Linked DNA regions of Anolis sagrei. The protein of the gene in region 1 interacts with the protein of each later gene in a biochemical or structural test. Links are inferred from orthologs where the notes say so. Each region holds a gene or a part of one and is shown in the gene's direction. Other genes may lie near its edges. The genes, in order: UBA1, UBE2J2, UBE2Q2 and UBE2T.

Region 1 (7,461 bases):
TCCTTAAGCCGCTCCTCATAGGGCTTGTTCTCCAGACCTTTTATCATTTTAGTCGCTCTCCTCTGGAAACATTCCAGCTTGTCAATATCTCTCTTGAATTGTGGTGCCCAGAATTGAACACAGTATTCCAGGTGTGGTCTAACCAAAGCAGAATAGAGGGGTAGCATTACTTCCCTAGATCTAGACACTATGCTCCTATTGATGCAGGCCAAAATCCCATTGGCTTTTTTTGCCGCCACATCACATTGTTGGCTCATGTTTAACTTGTTGTCCACGAGGACTCCAAGATCTTTTTCACACGTACTGCTCTCGAGCCAGGCATTGTCCCCCATTCTGTATCTTTGCATTTCGTTTTTCCTGCCAAAGTGGAGTATCTTGCATTTGTCCACATTGAACTTCATTTTGTTAGTTTTGGCCCATCTCTCTAATCTGTCAAGATCGTTTTGAATCCTGCTCTTGTCCTCTGGAGTATTGGCTATCCTTCCCAATTTGGTGTCATCTGCAAACTTGATGATCCTGCCTTCTAACCCTTCATCTAAGTCATTAATAAAGATGTTGAACAGGACCGGGCCCAGGACAGAACCTCATTTACATCATTCCCCACATCCAAAGCACCCTGATCCTGAAACAAAATTACAGGCTGAACTACAACAAAAACAATAAATAAGACAAATAAGATTTCTGATAACAAAGCCGACTCATCATTCTTGTTCATCTCGTGGTGCCAGAGTGCAGTTTGTTCAGCGCCTTCCAAGTCGCCCAGTTTTCTGTGTGCCCAGGGGGGAGTCTCTCATTTGGTATCAGCCATTGATTGAGATTCTGGGTTTGAGCCTGCCACTTTTGGACTCTCGCTTGCTGGGGTGTTCCAGCGAGTGTGTCTGTAGATCTCAGAAAACTATTTCTTGATTTAAGTGGTTAATGTGCTGGCTGATACCCAAACAGGGGAAGAGCTGGAGATGTCACTGCCTTGGTCCTTTCACTATTGCTTGCTACTTCCTGGCGGATGTCAGGTGGTGCAATACTGGCTAAACAATGTAATTTCTCCAGTGGTGTAGGGCGTAGATTTCATTAATCCTTTAATGAAAAGTGATTACCGTAATATTGATTCGCAACTCAAAGTAATTCTTGCTGATTCCTTATGCCAATATGTTTCTCTCTCTCTGAAACCTGAATTTGCCTGAAGCAAACAGTCAGGACCAAATGAACTGAGTGCTTCTACTGTACAGGGCTGCCCTCCAGATAACACATTTATGTACGTTTGCTATAATAGCTGGCAGACGTCCCATGGGAGGCTTTGGTTAGCCACTGTTGACCAAGATGACCCTTTGATCTTCTCTAGCATGGCACTTTTAAAGGTTTTTGATAGTTTAATTGGTTGATTTTGTGATAAAAATGTGCTCTTTGCCAAAAAGCAGAGGATTTGGGGACAGAGTACAGTGAACACACAGAAATCGTATGCTTCAATAGGACAAAATCTTACCAAGAAGCCAAAATGCAATTGTTGATGCCAACTGGGTCAGCAGATAGGTTCTCCAGCTCCACATTTCACCAGCAAATCTGAATGGCTGGCACTTGTTCATCCAAGCTGTTTAGGCTCTTGGGGATTTCAAAGTACTTTGAAGTTGGATCTGAAGAATGTTGGCTAATTAATGGAAGTATAACTTGCTGCGAATGTTCAGAGGGACTCATCAGCACTGGCAATAATAAAAACTGTGGACTTCATCACACTGAAGCAAGGAAGTGTTTGGAAGAGCTCAGTCTGACTCAGTTTTGAAATGAAACTGATGATTTCCCTACTTTCATCACACTGTAAAATGTATCCGTGTTACTCAGTTGTACTCAGCATTTTTTCAGTAGATTTGCCATCACACTGTAATCACTAGGCACTGCTCACCATCCCTCCTCTCTTTGAAATGTCAGCTGTTACGTGTCTTCAATTTCGGAAGCAGGGGGGGGGGGGAATGTGGCAATGTCCTCTCAGCTGCCCCACAGAGAAGGGTGTAGACCTTGGAAAACTATAACTGCCAGGACTGCATAATATGGAGCTATGGTATTGAAAGTAAGATCCAACTGCATTCATTTCAAAGTGTATATGCACCAAGAGAAGGGCACTGACCTTGGAAAACTATAACTCTCAGGACTGCATAATATGGAGCTATGGAATTGAAAATAAGATTCAACTGCATTCATTCAACAGTGTAGATGCACCAAGAGAAGGGTTGACCTTGGAAAACTATAACTCCCAGGACTGCATAATATAGAGCTATGGTATTTAAAGTAAGGTCCAGCTGCATTCATTTCATGGTGTAGATCAGTGGTTCTCAACCTGTGGGTCCCCAGGTGTTTTGGCCTACAACTCTCAGAAATCCCAGCCAGTTTATCAGCTGTTAGGGTTTCTGGGACCCACAGGTTGAGAACCATTGGTGTAGATGCATCCAGAGAAGGTTCATGGACCTTGGGAAACTGCAATTCCCAAGAGCAAGTCATGGAGACATGGCATTTAAAGTAAGGTCCAACTGCATTAATTTCACAGTGTAGATGCACCAAGAGAAGGGTATCGACCTTGGAAAACTATGACTCCCAGGACTGCGCAGCATGGAGACAATGCATAATTAATAATAATAATGATATTTAGTCTAAGGATATGTCTGAACTGGAATGCAATTTAGGGCCACTTTAACTGCCATGGCTCAATACTATGGGATCCTGGGATTTATAGTCTGGTGAGGCACCAGCACTCCTTGACAGAAAATGCATCAGACCTTGTAAAACTATAGTTCCTATTATGCCATAGCACTGGTCCCTGGCTCTTAAAGTGGTGTCAAACTGCATTCATTTTACAACGTAGATGAACCCTAACAGGGAAATAAACTGGTAGCGTACTTTCTTAGATTAAAGACGCATCCTGTCGAATTAAGTAAATTTGTCCCCATTTAAACTGTCATGGCTGAAAGTTATAGACTCAAGACACTGGCAGATATAGCCTTCGGTTTTCTCTGCCAAAGAATGTTGGTGCCTCCCAAACTACAACTCCCATAAATCCACAGCATTGAGTGGCAGGAGTTAAAATGGGGCAAAACAGCATCAATTCTAATGTAGATGCACCTTTAGGCCTCATCTACACTGCCACATAAAATCCAGATTGTCTGCTTTGAACTGGATATGGCAGTCGAGACTCATATAATCCAGTTCAAAGCAGATAATATATGGCAATGTAGATGGGACCTCAGGGCCCTTCCACACAGCTATCTAACCCTGAATATCAAGGCAGATGATCCACAATATCGGCTTTGACCTGGGTTATCCCAGTCCACATTGTCATATAACCTGGTTCAAAGCAGATAATGTGGGATTTTATACGGAAGTGTAGATAAGACTTCAGGACCCTTCCCCACAGCCCTATAACCCAAAGCAGATAATATATTGCAATGTAGATGGGACCTCAGGGCCCTCCCACACAGCTAATCCTGAATATCAAGGCAGATATATCCCAGAATATAAAGGCAGAAAATCCCACAATATCTGTTTTGAACTGGGTTATCTGAGTCCACACTGTCATATAACCCGGTTCAAAGCAAATAATGTGGATTTTATATAGCAGGGTAGAGGAGACCTCAGGGCCCTTCCACACAGCCATATAACCCAGAATATCAAGGCAGATAATCTACAGTATTGGCTTTGAACTGGGTTATCTGAGTCCACACTGTCATATAACCCGGTTCAAAGCAGATGTGGGATTTTACATGGCAGTATAGATGGGACTTCAGGACCCTTCTCCACTGCTATATAACCCTTAATATCAAGGCAGAAAATCCCACAATATCGGCTTTGAACAGGGTTATCCGAGTCCACACTGTCATATAACCCGGTTCAAAGCAGATAATGTGGGATTTTATATGGCAGTATAGATGGGACTTCAGGGCCCTTCCCTACAGCCATATAACCCAGAATATCAAGGCAGAAAATCCCACAATATCGGCTTTGAACTGGGTTATCCGAGTCCACACTGTCCTATAACCCGGTTCAAAGCAGATAATGTGAGTTTTTTATCAATGCACCCCCAACCTGAAGGGGGCTCCCAGACCCGCTTTGGGCCCGATCGGCGCCCCCTGCGTGTGCCTCCAGCCACGTGTTTACGCCTCTGCCTCTTCCCCACGCATCAGAAGCCACGTGCTCCCTTCCAGGTCCAGCCGCCCGCCGACTACATTTCCCAGGTAGCCGAGCCGTACCATTCCCGCTCGACGAAGGGGGGAGGTCGTATTCTGAGTCGTCCCGTTCTGCTTCCCGGGGACCTCTTCCCGACAAAGGATGGTGGGGGTCAAAAGGGGCCGGCGTGGTCCTCAAGTGCACGGGAAGGGTTTTCTCTAGCGGGGAGGCAGAGCGCGGCGCTGCAAGGGGGAGCCCAAGAAGAGCGGACACCCCTCTGTGGGGGAATGGTTGCGCCCGACCCTCTCCTCGCAGCAGCAGCAGCAGCAGGCGGCGGCCGGGGCCCGCAGAAGCAGCCCAACAGGAGAGGCAGGCAGGCAGAGAAGCGGGAGAAGGACCCCCAGTTGGAACGCAGGCGGCTCACAGAGGGGGGGTGAGAGAGACCCGGAGGGGGTGCTGCTCTGAATGGGAGGGGGTGATGAGGAAGGGAGGGGGAGGGAGCGCAGAGGGAGCAGCCCCCTCCCTGCCTGGAAAGAAGGGGCGGGGCTGGGGAGGGGGAGGGGGAAGGGCATTTTGGGAATGGGGGTGTAGGGGGTCATGGGAGAGGAGCACCCACAAAGATGCATTCATTGATGGATTGTGTGGGTTCCTTTCCCCACCCCCCACCCCACTTTCTCGAGTGGGTGGAACAAGGGACATATTTTGCATATTTAATTTTTGCATATTTAATTAATTTAATTTTGGGAAATCCATATTTGATTTTGGAATTCCCCAAAGGACTTGATTTTAGGAGCATCTATCTGCATGCACACACTATGTGCATTGTTGGGTTGCTGTGAGTTTTCCGGGCTGTATGGCCATGTTCCAGAAGCATTCTCTCCTGACGTTTCGCCCACATCCACAGCAGGCATCCTCAGAGGTGGTGAGATCTGTGCATTGTTGGGTTGCTGTGAGTTTTCCAGGCTGTATGGCCATGTTCCAGAAGCATTCTCTCCTGACGTTTCTCCCACATCCACAGCAGGCATCCTCAGAGGTTGTGAGGTCTGTGCATTGTTGGGTTGCTGTGAGTTTTCCAGGCTGTATGGCCATGTTCCAGAAGCATTCTCTCCTGACGTTTCACCCACATCAGGCATCCTCAGAGGTTGTGAGGTCTGTGCATTGTTGGGTTGCTGTGAGTTTTCCAGGCTGTATGGTCATGTTCCAGAAGCATTCTCTCCTGACGTTTCACCCACATCCACGGCAGGCATCCTCAGAGGTTGTGAGGTCTGTTGGAAACTAGGCAAGTGAGGTTTATATTGGTAAAAAGTAAAGGTTTTCCCCTGACGTGAAGTCCAGTTGTGTCCGACTCTGGAGTGTGGTGCTCATTTCCATTTCTAAGCCGAAGAGCCGGCGTTGTCCATAGACACTTCCAAGGTCATGTGGCCAGCATGACTGCATGAAGCGTCGTTACCTTCCCACCAGAGTGGTACCTATTGATCTACTCACATTTGCATGTTTTCAAACTGCTAGGTTGGCAGGAGCTGGGGCTGACAGCGGAAGCGCATGCCACTCCCCGAATTTGAACCTGCAACCTTTCAGTCAACAAGCTCAGCAGCTCGGTGCTTTAACCCACTGCACCACCGGTGGCTCCTACCCACCGGGGGCTCCTAGAGCAGTGTTTCTCAACTTGTGGGTCCCCAGGTGTTTTGGCCTACAACTGCCAGAAATCCCAGCCAGTTTACCAGCTGTAAGGATTTCTGGGAGTTGAAGGCCAAAACATCTGGGGACCCACAGACTGAGAACCACTGTCCTAGAGGTTTATATATCTGTCTTTTATTCGTGTTGTATTTTGAAATAGTCATATGGCTGGTCAGATAAATAAATTATTATTATTATATATCGGTGGAAGGTCCAGAGTGGAAGAATCAACTCTTGTCTGCTTGAGGTCAGTGTCCAGGTTTCAATGGTCCACTTTCATTTATTTATCGTGTTTGGAGCGAACCAAAACAGTTGTATTGCATTAAACACAAACAAACAAACAAAACGCAAAGTTTGCAGACTTTGTATTCTATTAAATGTCCTTTGACCAGTAGCTGGCCACTTGGGTAGCCTCTGGTGTTGCTGCAAGAAGGTCCTCCATTGTGCATGTGGCAGGGCTCAGGTTTGTATTTTTTTGGTCGTGTCAGGAGTGACTTGAGAAACTGCAAGTCGCTTCTGGTGTGAGAGAATTGGCCGTCTGCAAGGATGTTGCCCAGGGGACGCCCGGATGATTTGTTGTTTTTATCATCCTTGTGGGAGGCTTCTCATGGCTCAGGTTACATTGCAGTAGGTGGTCTGTGGTTTGCTCTTGGCCACCTTGATTAGCATTGAATGGCCTTGCAGTTTCAAGGTCTGGCTTCTTACTACCTGGGGTAATTCTGTCTTAGAAGGTGATTAGCTGGCCCTGATTGTTTCTTGTCAGGAATTCCCCCTTTTTTAGTGTTGTTCTTTATTTACTGCTATGATTTTAAGAGTTTTTTTTTTAAATACTAGTAGGCAGATTTTGTTCATTTATCCATTAAATACTAATCAAGCTGGTCAATTGAAATGTTCACACCTAGCTCCAATAGGCAAGAGTTCTTTCTCCCACCCTGGACTTTCTACAGATATAAACCCAATTTTCCTAGTTTCCAACAGAACTCACAACCTCTGAGGATGCCCGTCATAGATGCAGGCGAAACTTCAGGAGAGAATGCTTCTGAAACTGGGGGTCCTTCCACACAGGATATCAAGGCAGAAGATCCCACATTATCTGAGTGTGGACTCAGATAACCCAGTTCAAAGCAGATATTGTAGGATTTCCTTGATATTCTGGGATACAGGGCTGTGTGGAAGGGCCCATGGTCAATACAGCCTGGAAAACTCACAACAACCCAGTGATTTCGGCCATGAAAGCCTTCAACAATACATATGTGTGTTATGTTTGGAGTGCTGATTATTCTAGGTAAGGAATTCCACGCCATTCCTTTGGACCTGATAGGGGAAGTAGACTCTGTTAACTGAAACTCTCAAGCAACCAGAAAATCAGTTTTTAGTAGGAATGTCTGTTTAAGTTCATTTGGTTTTTTATTTCTCTCTGTTTCATTTTCATGGCTGTATTTCAATATTACTATCATGTCGATACAGAGTTTATGACATAGTCTGAAAAAGAGTGAAAACATGGCTTTAGGATCAAGCCTTTGGTGAATAATACAGTGCAATAGATGGAATTATGTGCAGTGACTATTGGAACAGCCTGGACTGTTCTTGCAGATAGGATGGTTTATAGTAGTAATTGTAATGTTTTCTAATCTTGTT
Region 2 (7,448 bases), on another chromosome or scaffold:
CTCCTGTCAAGTACAAATCCCAATTTCTTAATCCTATTCCTGGCCTTGATCTCATGCAAGGGATGGTCTTCCTGCACTAATACACATCTATTCATCTGCAATACAGATCCAAAGGTGACATCCTTGCAACTGGAGCCTTACAAAAACAGAAGGAAGGAAGGAAGGAAGGAAGGAAGGAAGGAAGGAAGGAGGCCAACGCCGTTGCCCTCATCCTCTTGCCCTTTCGTGACTTTCTCGGCACTGCTGGAGGAGAGCAAAAGAGAGAAGGAGTGGGAGAGAAGGAAGGAAGGAGACCAGCACTGCTGCCCTCACCCTCTTGAGACTATCCCGGCACTATTGGAGGAGAGGGAAAGAGAGAAGGAGAGGGAGATAAAGAAGGAAGGGAGGGAGGAGGCCAACACCGTTGCCCAAGCTCTCTTGAGACTTTCCTGGTGCTGTTGGAGAAGAGAAAAAGAGAGAAGGAGAGGGAGAGAAGGAAGGAAGGAGGCCAGCACCGTTGCCCAAGCCCTCTCGAGACTTTTCTGGTGCTGTTGGAGGAGAGAAAAAGAGAGAAGGAGAGGGAGAGAAGGAAAGAAGGGAGGGAGGGAGGGAGCCAACACTGTTGCCCAAACCCTCTCGAGAGTTTCCTGGCACTGTTGGAGGAGAGCAAAAGAGAGAAGGAGAGAGAGAGAAGGAAAGAAGGAGGCCAGCACCGTTGCCCAAGCCCTCTCGAGACTTTCACTGCACTGGTAGAGGAGAGCAAGAGAGAGAAGGAGAAGGAGAGAAGGAAGGAAGGAAGGAAGGAAGGAAGGAAGGAAGGAAGGAAGGAAGGAAGGAAGGAAGCCAATGCTGTTGCCCTTGCTCTTTTGCAACTTTCACCGCGCCGTTGCAGGAGAGCGAAAGAGAGAAGGAGAGGGAGAGAAGAAAGGAAGGAGGACAGCACCGTTGCCCTCATGCTCTCGCCCTCGTGTGACTTTCCCGGCACCGTTGGAGGAGAGCAAAAGAGAAAGGGAGAGAAGGAAGGAAGGAAGGAAGGAAGGAAGGAAGGAAGGAAGGAGACCAGCACTGTATAAAATATGGTTTTCTGTGGATGAGCAGATTGAGACTACTGGATGGCACATGTTCTGTATCAGAAACGAGAGCTGATGTGGTCTATCCAATGAAATTTTCTGAATCAGCTGATGTGGTCTATCCAATGCAGTTTCTGAATCAGCTGATGTGGTCTATCCAATGCAGTTTCTGAATCAGCTGATGTGGTCTATCCAATGCACTTTTCTGAATCAGCTGATGTGGTCTATCCCGTGAAGTTTTCTGAATCGGCTGATGTGGTCTATCCAATGCAATTTTCTGAATCAGCTGATGTGGTCTATCCAATGAAGTTTCTTAATAAGCTGATGTGGTCTATCCAATGAAGTTTCTTAATCAGCTGATGTGGTCTATCCAATGCACTTTTCTGAATCGGCTGATGTGGTCTATCCAATGCAATTTTCTGAATCAGCTGATGTGGTCTATCCAATGAAGTTTCTTAATCAGCTGATGTGGTCTATGCAATGCAATTTTCTGAATTAACACCCCAAACAACCAAACCAAATCTAAATTAGACCAAAAACCGATTTGTAACCCTTTTGGTACTAATGTTGGAGAGTTGTCCCTGGTCAAAAAATAGGGTTGGGAACCAATGTTTTAAGACATACCCCATTTTCAGAGATATTTATATGAGAGGAAAATGCATCTTGGAATTGAAGAAATATAATATATAAATAAACTTTTCTCGGTACCAAAATTAGTTAGAATGGAAGAAATATTATCAAGCATTAGATTATTATCACACCAATGGGGTAATGAATCCACTCTGGGTTTAATCCAGATTTTAAGCCAATTCTAAACATATTTAAGGGATTGATTACAGGTCTGTGAAAGTTCAGACTAAAACCTGGAGCAGATTCATGGAAATGACACCTTAAACCATCCCTGTTTGTGCCTGGCTTTGCAAATAAAGAAGTGCCTCCCTTACCTTCAGCTTCGGCTCCTTCTGGAGGCACGGCGCAGGTTCCCACATGCGAGACGACTCCCCAACCGGCGATGTTGCAAAACCCAAGCCTTTTTTCTTCTGGTTTGGTGAAATAAATCCATCCCTGGAGCCGGAGCATGGCACTCGGCCCTTCCTGCCGGAGGAAGAGGGGTGCCGATTCCGTGCCGTGTGGCAACGCATTTCCCATGCAGGACAAAACAAGTCGGAAGAGGTGTCGAAATCCTTTATGGTAAGGCAAGCTTGCTTAATAACAGACTGCGTTCGCTAATGCTGGAATCCAAATACCGGACGGGTGACTGGAACCGGACAAACAGCATCTGGAAAATTAAGTGCGGAGCATCAGAGTTGGAAGGATGGAAGACCAGGAGTTTGTTTATTATTGCTCATAGTTCCTTCTATGAATAGTCCCATCAGAAAACGCATACTCATCATCCACAGATCTGGCTGGATTACAACTCCCACCATCCCCAGATCTGGCTGGACTGCAAATCCCATCAGCCCCAGATCTTACTGGATGGTAACTATCATCAACCCCAGTTCTGGACGACTGCAACTCCCATCATCCCCAGATCTGTCCAAACTGCAAATCCCACCATCCCCAGATATGTCTGCACTGCTAATCCATCACCCCCAGATCTGACTGCACTGCCAATCCATCATCCCCAGGTCTGACTGGACTCCAAATTCCATCAGTCCCAGATGTGGTTGGAATGCAAATCCTATCATCTCCAAATCCACTGCAAATCCCATCATCCCAACTCGACTGCAAACCCCATCATCCACAGATCTGACTGGGCTGCAAACCCCATCGCCCCCAGATATGGTTGGGATGCAAATCCTATCAGTTCCAGATCAGACAGGACTGCAAATCCATCAATCCCAGATCTGACAGGACTGCAAATTCCATCATCCTCGGATCTGACTCGGTTGCAAATCCATCATCCCCAGATGTGACTGGACTGCAAATTCCATCAGCCCCCTATCTGGCCAGACTGAAAACCCCATCACCCCCAGATCTGGCTGGACTGCAAATTCCATCATTTCCAGATCAGACTGGACTGCAAATTGCATAATCCCTAGATCTCACTGGACTGCAGATCCCAACACCCCGAAATCTGGATGGACTGCAAACCCTATCAGCTCTAGATCTGGTTGGACTGCAAATCCCATCATTCCCATATTTGAGAACTGCAAAACCCATCATCCCAGATCTGGCTGGAATGCAAACCCCATCACCCCAGATCTAACTTGACTGCAAGCCCCATCAGCCCCAGATCTGGTTGGACTGCAAATCTCATCACATGCAGACGTGACTGGACTGCAAATTCCATCAGCTCCATATTTGACTAGACTGCAAATCCCATCATCCCCAGATCTGGCCAGACTGCAAATCCCATCATTTACAGATCTGGCCAGACTTCAAATCCCATCACCTCCAGATTTGGCTGTACTGCAAATCCCATCATCCCCAGATCTGGTTGTACTGCAAATCCCATGATCCTGTGAATCCCATCATCCCCAGATCTGGTTGGACTGCAAATCCCATCATACGCAGATGTGAATGGACTGCAAACCCTATCAGCCCTAGATCTGGTTGGATGGCAAATCCCATCATCCCCAGATCTGGCTGTACTGCAAATCCCATCATCCCCAGATCTGGTTGGATGGCAAATCCCATCATACGCAGATGTGAATGGACTGCAAATCCCATTGTCCCCAGATCTGGTTTGACTGCAAACTCTATCAGCCCTAGATCTGGCTGGACTTCAAATCCTATCATTCCCATATCTGGTTGTACTGCAAATCCCATCATATGCAGATGTGAATGGACTGCAAATCCCATTGTCCCCAGATCTGGTTTGCCTGCAAATCCCATCATCTTCGGATGTGACTGGACTGGAAATTCCATCATCCCAGATCTGGCTGGAATGCAAACCCCATCACCCCAGATCTAGCTTGACTGCAAGTCCCATCAGCACCAGATCTGGCTGGACTGCAAACCCCATCATCCCCAGATCTGGCTGGACTACATTTTTGGGGTGGGTGGAAATGGATAGAGAATAATGGGAATTGTTGTCCTTCCTGAGGGAGAAAAGGAAGGGGCCTGAGGCTGTGAGGAACTGTGGAAGACTTGAAGGGACTTTGGGAGGCTTCAAAATCCATCCTGAGCTAGGCCGCAGCCGTCTCCAGGGCGACCGGTTGCCACGGCAACGGGAGGACCAGAGAGGGCGGGGCGGGGGTGCTCTGCTTCCGCGCATGCGCCTCACCTCCCGAAACGGCTATGCTCAGACCAGAGACGGCAGGGCTCTGATTCCGCGCATGCGGCTCAGCTCGCTTGAGAAACCACTCCCCAAACAGCAAGGCGGGCTGAGGTTCCCAAACCGGAAGTGATGCAACCCGCCTCGGCGAGGCTTCGGACGGAAGCGGAAGTGTGGGAAAGGGGAAGCCGGTCGGGACCTGGGCCTGCCTCGGGCCGCCATCTTGGAGGGTCGCGGAGGGAGCCGGAGGGAGCCTGCCCTCGGCCCTCTTCCCTTCGCGAGGCGGCGCAGGAGGGCCTCGAGCCCCGGAGGAAGCGGTGAGAGGCCCGAGAAGGGACGGAGGGCGGGACAGAGAGAGCGGGCCAGGCCGGGGCTTTTGCGGCCTTCGGGGTGAGGCCTACTCCCCGCCGCCAAGCCTCCCTCTTTGGCGTCCATTGAGCTAGGCCTCTCTTCGGCCTTTCCTCCAGGGGTTTTGGACTGCAACTCCCACAATTCCTAACAGCCGCCAGGCTGTTAGGAATTGTGGGAGTTGCAGTCCAAAACCCCTGGAGGAAAGGCCGAAGTTGGCCCACGCCTGTTTGAGAACCAGAATACTAACAATAACACAGCCCAACAATTCAAAATAACTTGGCTTTTAGGCCTATTTTTTGGGATTATTTGGGAGGCATCAATAAAATCCACATTTTATTTATTTACTTACTTACTATATACACCCGCAGGCTATTTTATTTTATTTATTTATCGTGTCATCACCAACCAGACCATTGTGTTACATTTCTAACAAAACAAACAGACACACAAAACACAAATTTTGCGAACTTGGTAGTTGGTTAAATGTCCTTTGACCAGTCTCTGGCCCCTTGGAGTGCTTCTGGTGTTGCCACAAGAAGGTCCTCCATTGTGCATGCGACAGGGCCCAGGGTGCATTGCAGCAGGTGGTCAGTGGTTTGCTCTTCTCCACACTCGCATGTCGTGGACTCCACTTTGTGGCCCCATTTCTGGAGGTTGGCTCTGCATCGCGTGGTGCCAGAGCGCAGTCTGTTCAGCACCTTCCAAGTCACCCCATCCTCTGTGTGCCCAGGGGGGAGTCTCTCATTTGGTATCACCCACGGATTGAGGTGCTGGGTTTGAGCCTGCCACTTTTGAACTCTCGCTTGCTGAGGTGTTCCAGCGAGTGTCTCTGTAGATCTAAGAAAACTATGTCTTGATTTAAGTCGTTGGCGTGCTGGCTGATACCCAAACAGGGGATGAGCTGGAGATGTCACTGCCTTGGTCCTTTCACTATTGGCTGCTACTTCCCAGCGTATGTCAGGTGGTGCAATACCGGCTAAGCAGTGTAATTTCTCCAGTTGTGTAGGGCGCAGGCACCCTGTCTCATTAAGAGCCACATCCACTGTTTAGCGTGGTGAGATGTGTTCCACACTGGGCATGCGTACTCAGCAGCAGAGTAGCATAACGCAAGGGCAGATGTCTTCACCATGTCTGGTTGTGATCCCCCGGTTGTGCCAGTCAGCTTTCGTATGATGTTGTTTCTAGCACCCACCTTTTGCTTGATGTTCAGGCAGTGCTTCTTGTTGGTCAGAGCACGGTCCAGAGTGACTCCCAGGTATTTGGGTGCGCTGCAATGCTCCAGTGGGATTCCTTCCCAGGTAATAATCCTCAGAGCTCGGGATGCTTGTCTGTTCTTGAGATGAAAAGCACATGTCTGTGTTTTAGATGGGTTGGGGATCAGCTGGTTTTCCCTGTAATAGGCAGTAAGAGCACCTAGAGCTTCGGAGAGCTTCTGTTCAACCATCTCAAAGCTCCCTGCTTGAGCAGTAATGGCACGATCATCAGCATAGATGAAACTCTCTATCCCGCGGGCTGAGAAATATAGCAAATAGCAAGATCAATATAAAAAACCAGATATCATGATTTATTATATTTCTTTATTTACTATATTTGGCGATCACTCGTTGGCCAAGTAGGATAGTCTTCTAGGATCAGTATTCTGGTGGGTCCATAGGTGACTATTCTTGATCTGCATCTTCTCCCGTAGTGAGGGCATTAGTTTCCAAGTAGAAGGCGGTCCTGTTTGGTGTTGGCTTGACACTCCTTCCTCTTGGCACATTCCTCTCTTTCGCCTTCCATTCGTGCCTCTTCAAATTCTGCAGTACTGCTGGTCACAGCTGACTCCAGATGGAGCGCTCAAGGGCTTCCCAGTTCTCAGTGTCTATGCCAGTTTTTAAGGTTGGCTTTGAGACCATCTTTAGAATCATAGAATCAAAGAGTTGGAAGAGACCTCATGGGCCATCCAGTCCAGCCCCCTGCCAAGAGCAGGAATATTGCATTCAAATCACCCCTGACAGATGGCCATCCAGCCTCTGTTTAAAAGCTTCCAAAGAAGGAGCCTGCACCACACTCAAGGGCAGAGAGTTCCACTGCTGAATGGCTTTCACAGTCAGAAAGTTCTTCCTCATGTTCAGATGGAATCTCCTTTCTTGTAGTTTGAAGCCATTGTTCCATTGCGTCCTAGTCTCCAGGAAAGCAGAAAACAAGCTTGCTCTCTCCTCCCTGTGGCTTCCTCTCACATATTTATATGGCTATCATATCTCCTCTCAGCCTTCTCTTCTTCAGGCTAAACATGCCCAGCTCTTTAAGCCGCTCCTCATAGGGCTGGTTCTCCAGACCCTTGATCATTTGAGTCGCCCTCCTCTGGACACATTCCAGCTTGTCAACATCTCTCTTGAATTGTGGTGCCCAGAATTGGACACAATATTCCAGGTGTGGTCTAACCAAAGCAGAATAGAGCATGGGTAGCATTACTTCCCTATATCTAGACACTATGCTTCTATTGATGCAGGCCATTTTCAATTTCTTTTCCTGCCCACCAACTTTCCGTTTTCCGTTCTTGAGTTCAGAGTAGAGCAACTGCTTTGGGAGACGGTGGTTGGGCATCCAGACAACGTGGCCGGTCCAGCGGAATTGACGGCGGAGGATCATCACTTCAGTGCTGGTGGTCTTTGCTTCTTCCAGCACGCTGACATTAGCCCGCTTGTCTTCCCAAGAGATTTGCAGGATATTCCAGAGACAGCGCTGATGGAATCGTTCCAGGAGTTGCATGTGATGTTTTTAGACAGTCCACGTTTGTCAGGCATATAGCAGGGTTGGGAGGACAATAGCTTTATAAACAAGCCCGT
Region 3 (7,163 bases), on another chromosome or scaffold:
TCCATATGCTTCTTGTGGATTTTAGTGGCTTCTCTGTGTCGTCTAACATGGTGGTTGTGAGAATGGTCCAGTATTTCTGTGTTCTCCAATAATCTGCTGTGTCCAGGTTGGTTCATCAGGTGCTCAGCTATGGCTGACTTCTCTGGTTGAAGGAGTCTGCAGTGCCTTTCATGTTCCTGGATTCGTGTTTGGGTTAGTCTGCGTTTGGTGGTCCCTATGGAGACTTGTCCACATCTGCATGGTATATGGTTGACTCCTGCAGAAATAAGAGGATCCCTCTTGTCCTTTGCTGAATGTGTTGGATTTTCTTAATGGGTCTGTAGATAGTTTGTAGGTTGTGTTTCTTCCTCAGCTTCCCTCTGTGGTCGGTGGTTCCCTTGATGTCTGGCAAGAACCCTTTCCCTCTGGGTGGGTCTTTGTCTTGACTCTCGTGGCTTCTTCTTGGTCTCGTGGCTCTTCTGATGCCTGTGGTGGAGCCTCCATTGGCCTGCAAAGCCCAGTTTATTATTATTTATTATTATTGTTCATTTATTATTATTATTATTATTTATTATATATTATTTATATTCCGCCTTTCTCACCCCAACTCAGGGGACTCAGGGCGGAGCACAGTATATCTATGGCAAACATTCAATGCCGGGACACAAAATCTTATATACATACATAAACATTAAAAACGTATTGTCGAAGGCTTTCATGGCCGGAATCACTGAGTTGTTGTAGGTTTTTTCGGGCTATATGGCCATGTTCTAGAGCAGGGGTCCTCAAACTACGGCCCGGGGGCCGAATACGGCCCTCCAAGGTCATTTACCCGGCCCTCGCTCAGGATCAACCTAAGTCTGAAATGACTGGAAAGCACACAACAACAATCCTATCTCATCAGCCAAAAACAGGCCCACATTTCCCAATGAAATACTAATAAGGTTGTTGTTGTAGGGTTTTTTTTGGGCTATATGGCTATGTTCTAGAGGCATTCTCTCCAGATGTTTCGCCTGCAACTATGGCAAACATCCTCAGAGCTAGTGAGGTCTGTTGGAACTAGGAAAGTGGGTTTATGTATCTGTGGAATGACCAGGGTGGGACAAAGGACTCTTGTCTGCTGGAGCTAGGTGTGAATGTTTCAACTGACCACCTTGATTAGCAATTTTAGAGTTTTTAGAGAATTTTAGAACATGAAAGGCACTGCAGACTACTCCAACCAGAGAAGTCAGCCATAGCAGAGCACCTGATGAACCAACCTGGACACAGAATATTATTTAAGAACATAGAAATGCTGGACCACTCTCAGAACCACCATGTCGGACTACACAGAGAAGCCATTGAAATCCACAAGCATGTGAACAATTTCAACAGAAAGGAGGAAACCATGAAAATGAACAAAGTCTGGCTACCAGTATTAAAAAAACTCTAAAATTAAAACAGCAAAACAACAGAGGGGAAACAATCAGGGACATCTAATCACCTCTCAACAAAAGGATTGGTCCAGGCACTTCCAGGCTATCAAATGCTAAATCAAGGTGGTCAGTTGAAACATTCATACCTAGCTCCAGCAGACAAGAGTCCTTTGTCCCACCCTGGTCATTCCACAGATATATAAACCCTTTTGCCTAGTTCCAACAGACCTCACTACCTCTGAGGATGCTTGCCATAGATGCAGGCGAAACGTCAGGAGAGAATGCCTCTAGAACATGGCCATATAACCCGAAAAAACCTACAACAACCCAACATTAAAAACATTTATCAAAATATTAAAATACACCATTTAAAACCGTCCTAGTCATCCATGTCAAATCTAATTGGCCTGGTCCTCTTTCCTATTGCTGCTTTATTTCCCTGTCCTGAAAGCGTGGTCCCACAGCCAAGTTTGTGTGTTATTGTTCATTCGTTCAGTTGTTTCCCACTCTTCGTGACTTCATGGACCATCTCACGCCAGAGCTCCCTATCGGCCGTCACCATCCCCAGCTCCTTCAAAGTCAATCCAGTCACTTCAAGGATACCATCCATCCATCTTGCCCTTGGTCAGTCCCTCTTCCTTTTTCCTTCCATTTTCCCCAGCATCATTGTCTTCTCCAAGCTTTCCTTTCTTCTCATGATGTGGCCAAAGTACTTCATCTTGGCCTCTCCTATCCTTCCCTCCAATGAGCAGTCGGGCTTTATTTCCTGGAGACTGGTTGGATCTTCTTGCTGTCCAAGAACTTTCCTCCAACACCACAGTTCCAAAGCACCTCTCTTTCTTCGCTCAGCCTTCCCTAAGGTCCAGCTCTCACATCCGTAGGTGACTATGGGGAATACCATGGCTTTGACTATGCGGATCTTTGTTGCCAGTGTGATGTCTCTATTCTTCACTATTTTGTCGAGATTGGACATTGCTCTCCTCCCCGGTCCAAGGCACTCTCAGAACTTTCCTCCAACACAACAGTTCAAAAGCATCTCTCTCCCTTCGTTCAGCCTTCCCTATGGTCCAGCTCTTGCATCCGTAGGTGACTATAGGGAATACCATTGCTTTTACTATCCAGATCTTCGTTGCCAGTGTGATGTTGCTACTCTTCACTATTTTATTGAGATAAAATTTATCGAGAAGCTTCCCAGAAGGATAATAAAAACATCAAATCATCTGGGTGTCCCCCTGGGCAACTTCCTTGCAGATGACCAATTCTCTCACACCAGAAGAGACTTGCAGTCTCTCAAGTCGCTCCTGACACGACCAAAAAAAATGGATTGAGGTTCTGGGTTTGAGCCTGCCTCTTTTGGACTCTTGCTTGCTGAGGTGTTCCTCTAAGAATCTCTGTAGGTCTTAGGAAGCTGTTTCTTGATTGAAGGAGTTGTCTTGCTGGCTCCCGTGGGGTTCCTTCTCATGTGAGGGTCTCCAGGTGGGAAGCATGTGAGATAGTTCAGGAAGCTTTCCAGACTCTGATACTGTTTAACTTCCAGGGTGCTGCTGGGTCTGTAGCAACTCTGGGGAAATGCAAAGGAATGCTATCCCATGCAGCTAAAAGACAATGTAAACCATGCTCCTGGAAGACGGAACACTGCCTCTTTTGGACTCTTGCTTGCTGAGGTGTTCCTCTAAGTGTCTCTGTAGGACTTAGGAAGCTGTTTCTTGATTGGAGGAGTTGTCTTGCTGGTTCCCTCTCCTGTGAGGCTCTACAGGTAGGAAGCGTGTGAGATAGTGCGATAGTTCAGGAAGCTTTCCAGACTCTGATACTGTTTAATTTCTAGGGTGCTGCTGGGTCTGTAGCAACACTGCCTCTTTTGGATTCTTGCTTGCTGAGGCGTTCCTCTAAGAATCTCTGTAGGTCTTAGGAAGCTGTTTCTTGATTGGAGGAGTTGTCTTGCTGGCTCCCATGGGGTTCCTTCTCCTGTGAGGCTCTCCAGGTGGGAAGTGTGTGAGATAGTTCAGGAAGATTTCCGGACTCTGATACTGTTTAACTTCCAGGGTGCTGCTGCCCCTTTTGGACTCTTGCTTGCTGAGGAGTTCCTCTAAGTATCTTTGTAGGTCTTAGGAAGCTGTTTTTTGATTGGAGGAGCTGTCTTGCTGGCTCCCCTGATACTGTTTAACTTCCAGGGTGCTGCTGCCCCTTTTGGACTCTTGCTTGCTGAGGTGTTCCTCTAAGTATCTCTGTAGGTCTTAGGAAGCTGTTTCTTGATTTGAGGAGTTGTCTAGCTGGTTCCCTCTCCTGTGAGGCTCTCCAGGTGGGAAGCATGTGAGATAGTTCAGGAAACTTTCCAGACTCTGATCCTGTTTAACTTCCAGGGTGCTGCTGGATTTGTAGCAACACTGCCTCTTTTGGACTCTTGCTTGCTGAGGTGTTCCTCCAAGTATCTCTGTCTGCAGCAACACTGCCTCTTTTGGACTCTTGCTTGCTGAGGTGTTCCTCTAAGTATCTCTGTAGATCTCAGTAAGCTGTTTCTTGATTGGAGGAGTTGCCTTGCTGGCTCCCGTGGGGTTCCTTCTCCTGTGAGGCTCTTCAGGTGGGAAGCGTGTGAGAGAGTTCAGGAAGCTTGGAGAAAGACCTAGTCTAGACTGAGGAAGTGAGGGGAAGGAGGCCGCGCCCCCTTTAAATGTCCTCCACGCGCGGGGCATGCCGGGAGCCGTAGTCTTACGGAGTGGTGGGACTCCCCTCCGCCAATGAGCGCTCCCGACGCGCCCGACTACAACTCCCATGATTCCATCGCGGCGAGGCCTAGCCGGGGCGTCGGAGGCGACGCTGAGGGAGAGAGGGAGGGAAGGCGAGCGCGGCCTAGGCCTTTCCGCAGGCTTCTCCTCCGTGCGGGCTTTCTCCGGAGATGAGGCCAGGATGTCCTCGTCGGTGTCAGGGCTGAAGGCCGAGCTGAAGCTGCTGGAGTCCATCTTCGGGAAGGAGCACGAGCGCTTCCGCGTCCTCTCCTGGCGCCTCGACGAGCTCCACTGCCAGTTCCTCCTCCTGCCCTCCTCGCCCCAGCAGCCCCTCGCCATCCACTGCAACATCACGGTGAGAGCCAGCAGGGAACGAAGGAAGGAATGAGGGAATGAGGGAAGGGAGGGAAAAAAGGAAAGGGCCTCCCCGCGGCCTAGCGCCCACCCACCAGCCTGCCTCGCAGTAGGAGCCTCCTCCGCAGGCTGGGGCCTGCAACTCCCACCAGGCCTCACGGCCCACTACAACTCCCAGAAGCCCCCAACCGAGAAGGAAGGGTGGGAGATACAGGCCCAAACCCCTGGAGCCACCCCCCCCCCCCCAATTGGGCCAGGAAAGTTTGCCCCTCATGTTCCTTCATTATATTATTATAAATATAATAATTTCCGTCTTGTCTTGACTAATAATATAGTATATTGTATTCTTATTACTAGTATTATATTGTACTACATTATAAATATTATAATTTCCATCTTGTCTTTACTAATGATATAATATCTTGTATATACATATAATAATATTGTATTATTATTACTAGTATTATATTATAAATATTATAATTTCCATCTTGTCTTTACTAATGATATAATATCTTGTATATACATATAATAATGTTGTATTATTATTACTAGTACTATATTATAAATATTATAATTTCCATCTTGCCTTTACTAATAATATAATATATTGTATATACATATTGTATTATTACTAGTATTATATTGTATTACATTATATTATAAATATAATAATTTCCATCTTGTCTTTACTAATAATAAAGTATATTGTATATACATATAATAATATCTTGTCTTTACTAATAATATAGTGTATTGTATATACATATGATAATATTGTATTATTATTACTAGTACTATATTATAAATATTATAATTTCCATCTTGTCTTTACTAATAATATAATATATTGTATATACATATAATAATAATGTATTATTTATTTATTTACTTCGCTTATATACCGCAATTCTCAGCCCCAGGGGCGACTCACTGCGGTGTACAATATAGAAAAACATGTGCAAAATACAAGACATAGTGTAAAATAATCCACAATCATCATTATCAAAAAAACATCCTCATCAAAAACATCAACATTACTACAAAAGCCATTCCGTGTCGTCTCATCGTCAAACCCACAATCCAGTATCATTTTCCGTTGTTCCATTCCTATGGTCAAAATACCAATCATTGCACTTCTTGTTCAAATGCCTTCTTAAACAGCCAGGTCTTTAACTTCCTGTGGAACATCAACAGGGAGGGAGCTAGCCTGATGTCCACGGGAAGGGTTTTCCACAGCCGAGGAGCCACCACCGAGAAGGCCCTATCTCTCGCCCCCGCCAGCCGTGCCTGTGACGCAGGCGGGATCGAGAGCAGGGCCTCCCCGGAAGATCTCAAAGTCCTCGTGGGCTCATAGGCCGAGAGGCGGTCAGTTAGGTATCTTGGGCCGGAACCGTTTAGGGCTTTATATATATATGGTATATACATATAACAATATTGTATTATTATTACTAGTATTATATTTTACTACATTATAATATTATAAATATTATAATTTCCATCTTGTCTTTACTAATAATATAATATATATTATATACATATTGTATTATTACTAGTATTATATTGTATTACATTATATTATAAATATTATAATTTCCATCTCGTCTTTACTAATAATATAGTATATTGTATATACATATAATAATATTGTATTATTATTACTAGTATTATATTGTACTACATTATAATATTATAAATATTATAATTTCCATCTTGTCTTTACTAATAATATAGTATATTGTAGATACATATAATAATATTGTATTATTATTACTAGTATTATATTGTACTGCATTATAATATTATAAATATTATAATTTCCATCTCGTCTTTACTAATAATATAGTATATTGTATATACATATAATAATATTGTATTATTATTACTAGTATTATATTGTACTACATTATAATATTATAAATATAATAATTTCCATCTTGTCTTTACTAATAATATAATATCTTGTATATACATATAATAATATTGTATTATTGTTACTAGTATTATATTGTATTACATTATAAATATTATAAATATTATAATTTCCATCTCGTCTTTACTAATAATGTAATATATTGTATACACATATAATATTTATAATAGTATAATGTAATACAATATAATACTAGTAATAATAATACAATGTTATAATTATATATTTTAGATTACATGTAATATTACTAATAATATCACAATATAATGATATAGTGCAACATAGTAATGTATAATACTGATATTGTACTATGCTAATAATATAAGATATTGTATGTATATATTTACTTATTTACTTACTTCATTTGTATACCGCTTTTCTCAGCCCTTAGGCGACTCAAAGCGGTTAATAATAGCAAAAATTCAATGCTAAACATCATAAAGACAGTTAAGAGACAATTAAAACAATAACATAGTAAACAATTAAACATCAATATAACATCTCATTAGTGTCTCATCAGTAGCATCAAGATCCAATCTCATCATCCGTTGTTCTGTATTCCTATATTCATTACACTGCCTATTCAAATGCCTGCTCGAACAGCCAGGTCTTCACTTTCCTCCGAAATGCCAATAGGGAGGGGGCCGATCTAATTTCTGTAGGAAGGGCGTTCCACAGCCGAGGGGCCACCACTGAGAAGGCCCTGCCTCTCGTTCCCGCCAGGCGCGCCTGCGATGCAGGCGGGACTGAGAGCAGGGC
Region 4 (7,781 bases), on another chromosome or scaffold:
ACAGCTAAAGCTGTTTTGAAATTGCTTAGGTAAACAATGAGCTAGGCTGACAGTTGGCAGCTCATGCCAACCCGGGGCTTCGAACTTGCAACATTTTAGTTGATAGATCTTATAATTGCTGATGATTTACCAGTTGTGCTAAACCTCTGGCCTAGATGCAGAATGTCCTTATATCCCTCGGCATTTGGCAACCGTCAGCATTTAAGATTACTGATGAAGACTGAAAAAGTTGATTTGGGATCAAATCTGTACAACCCCCCCTCCCCAAATCTCTTGTTATATGGCTATTTCAAATGATCAAAAGACCAGGCCTGGGCAAACTTGGGCCTTCCTGGTGTTTTGGACTTCAACTCCCACAATTCCTAACAATCTCAGGTCCATTCCTTTTCTCAAATGATGAGGCCTGAGGCTGTTAGGAATTGTGGGAGTTAAAGTCCAAAACACCTGGAGGGCCCAAGTTTACCCAGGCCTAATTTAGACCCAAGGAAGATAAGGAGGCTTCATACTTAAGAAAACCATCTTACTGTTGACATTTATAAACCTCATGACTAGCACAATGCTGTGCTTCTAGTTTAGCAGTAGTCATCCACACTGCATCTGGTTGCCGTGTTCTCACATTTGGCTAGAAATACTTTACTCACTGGGTTGTTGTAGGTTTTTCCGGGCTATATGGCCATGTTCTGGAGGCAATTTTTCTCCTGACGTTTCGCCTGCATCTATGGCAAGCATCCTCAGAGGTAGTGAGGTCTGTTGGAAGTAGGAAAAATGGGTTTATTTCAGTACATAAGCAGCCAGTAACCATCTTCCAAACGTGTGAAGGCAGACCTCTTCCGTGGCTTCTTTACAAAAATAAGAGTTGGGATCTTAACCAGGGATGCATTTTACACTGTAGAATTAATGCAGCTTGACATCATTTTAACTGCTGTGATTTAATACTATGAAATCATAATTGTAGTTTTACAGGGCCTTTAGTTTTCTCTGCCAAAGACTGCTGGTGCCTCGCCAAACCACCAGGAGCCCCTAGTGGCGCAATGGGTTAAACCCTTGTGCTGGCAGGACTGCTGACCAAAAGGTCGGTGGTTCTAATCCGAGGAGCAGGGTGAGCTATCAGTTACAGCTTGTCATGTGGGGATGTGTGAGAAGCTTCCCACAAGATGGTAAAATATCCAGGCGTTCCCTGGTCAATGTCCTTTCAGATGGCCAATTCTCTCACACCAGAAGTGACTACTCTCTCTCTCTCACTCTCTCTCTCTCTCTCATACGCACACACACACACACACACAAAACAAACCACCCAGGATTCTGTAACATTGAGCCATGGCAGTGAAAGTGGTGTCAAACTGCATTAATTCTACAGTGCAGAATGCTCTCTGGGCAGAAATGACATATCTGCTCACAGGATGCTCCTACTGGCAAGGTGGAGGAAGCAAGTGAGGTTTTATTTCTCTCACTATTCCTCTCTGCTTCTTTGAATAGTAGCTTCCAGTACCTCAGATTATTGGTCATGACTGGGGCTTCTGGGAGTTTTAGTCCAAAATATCTGGAAGGAAGTTCTGGGTGACCTATTGCTAGTGACAGTTGTTCATTCCTTTCTTTTGAGGCACAGTCATTTCCTGGGACAGGAGCTCTTCAGTTTGCAGACAAAATATGTCATCTCTAGAAATTTTCTGGGTCCTTCAGGGTGACTGTATGGCAATTTTTGGTGGAAATCATTCATTTCCAAAGGTCTTGCTTGTAAAGAACCTCCGACAATGCTAATGAAACTGCCACCAAAATGTAAAGAGACGCTGGTATTAAAGTCTCTGTTTGTGTTGTGAGGTAATTTTGGTAGAGTGGGTGCACCGAACATAAATTAATGGAGATGAGGCAGTTTTAAAAACCAAAGAGAACAAGTTTATTGTTAAACAAAGCGAATGGTTGCAAAATGAAGTTGTTAAGCTTGGCATATACTTGATAGTTACAATATGAAGATGTTAGGCTTGGCATATACTTGATGGTTACAATATGACTTGGTTGCGATACAGTTCAGACTTTTGATGTTACAACTTATAAACTCTTGCTGTAGTGAAGTGCTTTATTATTCAGTGTTCCCTGCTGTGAATATTCTCACTGTTTGATCTATACTGGATCAAATCACTGATCTCCAGTCTTCCACCGACTGGCGATCCTAAAAAGCCTCTGTTAGTTCTTTCTAACTAAAGTAATCTAACGAGGTTTTCCCCTTCAGCTCCCTAGCTGAAGAAATATTCACGAACACTAAAAAACTAACTCTACACTTCTTCACTCCTCAGAGTCTCTTCCCTGACTCTGCTACTCTCTCAGAGTCCCTATCTGACTCTGCTACTCTCTCAGGGTCTCTTCCTCCTGACTGAACTTAACTGTCACTTTCTAAACCTTTTTCTCTCTAAGCTCCTCCCACCTCCTCTTCTGCCTTGTTTCTATGGCAACATATCTCTCACAGCTAGGCCGCTCCAGCCATAGGCAACCAATGTAAAACATTAATACAGTTATACACACATTATAATAAACACTTCTGTACATTGCTATTCATGGTTTCCAGTCTGCAGGAACATATCCCTTGCAGATACAGGGGTTGTATAGCATCCTAAACCAGATGTTTTGCCACTTCTGCTATGATTCACTCATAATGACTAGTTTTTTTCTGTAAATGAAGATTTGATTGCTGCAATTGTAAAAAATATAATTTATGATGTTTACTTAGAGCTATGTCACAACCATTTTAAATTGTTCTAATCTAATTAGTGACAGGAAATGTGAATTCGGGTTAATTATCAGTCCTCCTTTTTCTGGGTCATTACTTGTTAGGAGACTTTGAACAGAGTTTGTCAAATAGAAATGAAGTTCTTTGACTGAACAGTCACTCAACACTTTATGGATCATCTTTGAAGTGCTTACCAAATTTAGCTGTCAGCTTCCTAAGGAAATTAACAAGGGAGGAAATTGACTCAAGGGCCCCATTTTACCTGACATCAGCATCTTAACTGATTTTAATCTCTTGTAGAACTTACAACAACAAAGACTCTTACGGCAAATAAATGTAATGTAAGCAAATGCAAAGTGATATGCACTGGGGCAAAAATAAAGTATAATAAAAATCTAGCTTCCTTAATGGGACTGAGTTGCCAGTGATTTAGCAAGAAAGGGAACGCGGATTGTAAAAAGAAAGTGTTGACACAGGAGAAAGTTTGCAGTTGCTAAAAAAATTAAACAGTAAAATTCCTTGCTAGGCACAATTAGAAAGGGAACTTGAAAATGGAACTGCCCTTATACAAACCTATAGTGTACCTATATCCAGACTACTGTGTACAGTTGTGGTCACTGCATATAAATAAAGAATATTATGTGACCCTTTTATCCATGAAGGATATGTTCCAAGATTCCGGCATGGATTCCTGAAACTGTGGATAATAGCAAATGCCTATATATATTTTAGTATGCCTGGGCTGCAGTCAAATGCAGGGAATTGAAGTCCAAAATTATTATTATTTTATTTCTTACCTCTCATAGTGGCTTGAGGTAGGTTACAACATAACTAAAAAAATGTAACCATGGTAGGCATTATATAAAATATACATATGAAAACGTATTTCTACAAAATGCCTATATTAAAACCTGGGTTGTTGTAGGTTTTTTCGGGCTATATGGCCATGTTCTAGAGCAGGGGTCCACAAACTTTTTAAACAGAGGGCCAGGTCACAGTCCTTCAAACTGTTGGAGGGCCGGATTATAATTCGAAAAACACATGAATTCCTATGCGCACTGCACATGTCTTATTTGTAGTGCAAAAAACACTTAAAACAATACAGTTATTAAATTGAAGAACAATTTTAACAAATATAAAGTTATTAGTATTTAAATGAGAAGTGTGGGCCTACTTTTGGCTGATGAGATAGGATTGTTGCTGTTGTTTTTGTGTGCTTTCAGATTTAGGTTGACCCTGAGCGAGGGCCAGGTAAATGGCCTTGGAGGGCCGCATCTGGCCCCTGGGCCTTAGTTTGAGGACCCCTGTTCTGGAGGCATTCTCTCCTGACATTTTGCCTGCATCTGTGGTAAGCATCCTCAGGTTGTGAGGTCTTCTGAGGTCTATTGGGACCTCCGAGGATGCTTGCCATAGATGCAGGCGAAATGTCAGGAGAAAATGCCTCTAGAACATGGCCATATAGACCGAAAAAACCTACAACCACCCAGTGAATCCAGCCATGAAAGCCTTTGACAATATATTATAAACACCTGGAAGACTGGAGTTTGGGTATTATTGAGGGCCCTTCCACGCAGCCATATAACCCAGAATATCAAGGCAGAAAGTCCCACTATATCTGCTTTGAACTGGGTTATCCGAGGGCCCTTCCACACAGCCCTATATCCCAGAATATCAAGGCAGAAAATCCCACATTATCTGAGTGTGGACTCAGACAACTCAGTTCAAAGCAGATATTGTGGGATTTTCTGCCTTGATATTCTGGGATATAGGGCTTTGTGGAAGGGCCCTGAGTCCACGCTGCCATATATTCCAGTTCAAAGCAGAAAATGGGGTTTTATTCAGCTGTGTGGAAGGGGCCTGTGTTAACACCATGCAGAGTGACAGCGAAATTAGTTCCGGAAGTATCAAGATCGACGCTAGAGACTGTATCCCATTAGAAACTGTTTAGATTTCTTGGGAGGTGGAGCTATTGTTTCCATTGGCCAATCCGCTTTGAGTTGCTTTTGACGGACACTCGGTCTGTCCATTCAGGCTGCGACGCGCTTGGGACGCTGGGTCTTTCCGGTTCAAAACAGGGCGCGCGTTTTGTCTTCTCGGCTTGTTTGGTGAGTTGCCTTCCTGAGGCTGAGAAACGCGGTGAGTCGTTGCGGCGCCTGTGGCTCCTGCTGCTTCGTTGGTTCTCAGGCATTCAGCAAGAGAAGGCCCTTTCCCCTCAGGCCTGTGGTGTGTGTGAAGGGAGTTCTGGTTCCGATGGTGTTTCTCAGCTCAGTTGGTTAGGCCTGGTTGGAACATTTTGTGGGCTGAGCATTGGGCGAGGGGTGCATCTACAGTAGGCATGGGCAAACTTGGGCCCTTCAGGTGTATTGGACTTCAACTCCCACCATTCCTAACAGCCTCAGGCCCTTTCCTTTTCCCCCTCAGGCGCTTAAGCGCCTGAGGGGGAAAAGGAAAGGGCCTGAGGCTGTTAGGAATGGTGGGAGTTGGAAGTCCAATACACCTGAAGGGCCCAAGTTTGCCCATGCCTGATCTAGAGTGTAGAATTAACACAGTTTGACATCACTTTCGCTGTGGGATCCTGGGAGATGTAGTCTGGTGAGGCAGAGAAGGCTAAAGGCCTTGTAAAACTACAACTCCCATGATCCCATAGCATTGAGCCATGGCGATTCGTGTGATATCAAACTGCACTAACTCAGCAGCGTAGATGCACCCCAGGAACTCTGAAGGCTAGACTTGGAATGAGCGAGACACACTCTCTCAGCCTCAAGAGGAAGGTGATGTCAAAGCTCTTCTGAACAAATCTTGCTAGGAGAACCCTGCCATAGGTTTGCCTTAGGGTTGTCATACCTTGGAAACAACTTGAAAGGCACGCAGCAGCAGCAACAAAATCCCCAAAGTAACTTCACCATGTTCCGCTTCTTCCCAGCGTTTCAGGTGGTGGAGAAATGGTATAAGTAAAACTTTATTTCTATCCCGCCTTATTTCCCCACAACATAACAGGCAAAAATTCAATGTGGTAAAATACCACAATTGTTGTTGTTGTTCATTCGTTCAGTCGTTTCCAACTCTTCGTGACTTCATGGACCAGTCCATGCCAGAGCTCCCTGTCGGCCGTCACCACCCCCAGCTCCTTCAAGGTCAATCCAGTCACTTCAAGGATACCATCCATCTATCTTGCCCTTGGTCGGCCCCTCTTCCTTTTTCCTTCCATTTTCCTCAGCATCATACTCTTCTCCAAGCTTTCCTTTCTTCTCATGATGTGGCCAAAATACTTCATCTTGGCCTCTACTATTCTTCCCTCCAATGAGCAGTCAGGCTTTATTTCTTGAAGTATGGACTGGTTGGATCTTCTCGCTGTCTAAGGCATTCTCAGCACAAAATACTACAATAGACTAAAACAGTTCAAAATAAACAGCGTGTCTTTACTCTGGAATGTTGTAGGCTTTTTCAGGCTATATGGCCATGTTCTAGAATGCCTCTGGAACATGGCCATATAGCCCGAAAAAAAACCCTACAACTACTCAGTGATTCTGGCCATGAATCACTTCGACAATACATTGCCTTTACTCTGTGTGACAAAAAAAAACTTTACTATTTGCTAAGAAGAGAGAATTACAGCAGATGTTGCTTGTTCCCTGGTTGGGTGACAAGAAGCACCTCCTGTTTTCTTTTCTATACAACCATTAAAGGTACAGGGGCTTTTTTGGGGTGGGGTTTCACTCAGGCAAGGTACCCCTCTTTTGCAACTCCAGTGAGCCCCAGTCTGTATGGCCTGGAATCAAGAGAGCTGTGTCCTAATGTCAAGGTGCAAAGGATTGCCAGGAGTCCTTGTCATCTTTCTTTGCGTAGGGAGTAGTTTCCCACCTACCCAGTTGGGAAACTTTGATCCATAAGGAGACATAGTGTATTTGTTTTACTTAGTTTTTATCCTGCCCCTGGTGGCGCAATGTGTTATGTATTTATTTATTTTTTTTACTTCATTTATACCCCGCCTTTCTCCCCCTCAGGGAAGTCAAGGCGGCTTACAACTCCAGTACCATTCAATACCAATAAAATAAACAGTAAAAACAATAACATACTCCCCTCCATTAAAACAGTTATAGTCAATAAACACATTAAAACATATACAGTTTTGTCCCGGCCGAACTGGTTGACCGAAAGGTAAGCTCCTGTCTGTCAAGCTCAAGCTTCCCATGCAAGGACATATGACAAACCTCCCATAGGATGGTAAAACATCAAACATCTGGATGTCCCCTGGGCAACGTCCTTTCAGAATACCAATTCTCTCACAACAGTTTCTCGAGTTGCCCTGACACACACACACAAATCCTGCCTTTCTCTCAGAGCCCTCCAGATAGGTCCTTGATCTCGGGATCTGATCCCAGGTTTTCTGCTTTAAACTGGATTATATGTGTCCCCAATGCCAGTTAATCTGAGATAAATGGAAAACCTGGAATCAGATCCTGAGATATAAGGCTTGGCTGGAAGAGCCCTCAGTACAGGGGAGTCAAGGCAGCTAACAGCAAACATGATACAATTAAATCTGAGCAAATGCATTAAAATATGAACTTTTAAATAAAATTAAATATTTTGTTATGAAACAAACAAATCAAAACATATTTAAAACTGAATCCTCCCTTACTCCATCTTCTCATCTATCCTCCCACTCATCAAGTATATGGCCTTCCATATCCACAGATTCTGCATCCGCAATGTCGGTCCCCCATCAAAGTCCTAAAAAACAATTTATATTTTTGCCATTTAATATTAGGGATGCCATTTTGCTATGCCATTTTAGATTATGATACGTGAGCTTCCACAGATGTTGGTAAGTGGAGGGGTTCCTGGAACCTAATCCCAACAGATACATAATTTCCACTGTACGTCTCAGTGTATGATGAAAAACGTAAGTCCCTCAACCTGATAGGCAGCTTAAAAAGCCTTGGCCTGCATAAATAGGAGTATAGTGTCTAGATCCAGGGAAGTCATGCTGCCCCTCTATTCTGCCTTGGACAGACCATACCTGGAATACTGTGTCCAATTCTGGGCACCACAATTTAAA

What was found.
Region 2: of the proteins of UBA1 (region 1) and UBE2J2, one has a biochemical effect on the other in vitro, tested with the Homo sapiens proteins (2 studies listed by BioGRID). The link is inferred for Anolis sagrei from reciprocal best matches to the Homo sapiens genes UBA1 and UBE2J2.
Region 3: of the proteins of UBA1 (region 1) and UBE2Q2, one has a biochemical effect on the other in vitro, tested with the Homo sapiens proteins (3 studies listed by BioGRID). The link is inferred for Anolis sagrei from reciprocal best matches to the Homo sapiens genes UBA1 and UBE2Q2.
Region 4: of the proteins of UBA1 (region 1) and UBE2T, one has a biochemical effect on the other in vitro, tested with the Homo sapiens proteins (4 studies listed by BioGRID, with this or other methods). The link is inferred for Anolis sagrei from reciprocal best matches to the Homo sapiens genes UBA1 and UBE2T.

Annotation. Positions count from the first base shown.
Region 1 is NC_090022.1:193,378,009-193,385,469, reverse strand, and holds the start of UBA1 (ubiquitin-like modifier-activating enzyme 1), read left to right. Parts: upstream 1-4,447; 5' UTR 4,448-4,579; intron 4,580-7,461. UniProt on the Homo sapiens protein: Catalyzes the first step in ubiquitin conjugation to mark cellular proteins for degradation through the ubiquitin-proteasome system.
Region 2 is NC_090033.1:4,945,314-4,952,761, reverse strand, and holds the start of UBE2J2 (ubiquitin-conjugating enzyme E2 J2), read left to right. Parts: upstream 1-4,436; 5' UTR 4,437-4,586; intron 4,587-7,448. UniProt on the Homo sapiens protein: Catalyzes the covalent attachment of ubiquitin to other proteins. Seems to function in the selective degradation of misfolded membrane proteins from the endoplasmic reticulum (ERAD).
Region 3 is NC_090029.1:11,631,843-11,639,005, reverse strand, and holds the start of UBE2Q2 (ubiquitin-conjugating enzyme E2 Q2), read left to right. Parts: upstream 1-4,148; 5' UTR 4,149-4,163; coding exon 4,164-4,472; intron 4,473-7,163.
Region 4 is NC_090024.1:205,674,033-205,681,813, reverse strand, and holds the start of UBE2T (ubiquitin-conjugating enzyme E2 T), read left to right. Parts: upstream 1-4,777; 5' UTR 4,778-4,858; intron 4,859-7,781. UniProt on the Homo sapiens protein: Accepts ubiquitin from the E1 complex and catalyzes its covalent attachment to other proteins. Catalyzes monoubiquitination. Involved in mitomycin-C (MMC)-induced DNA repair.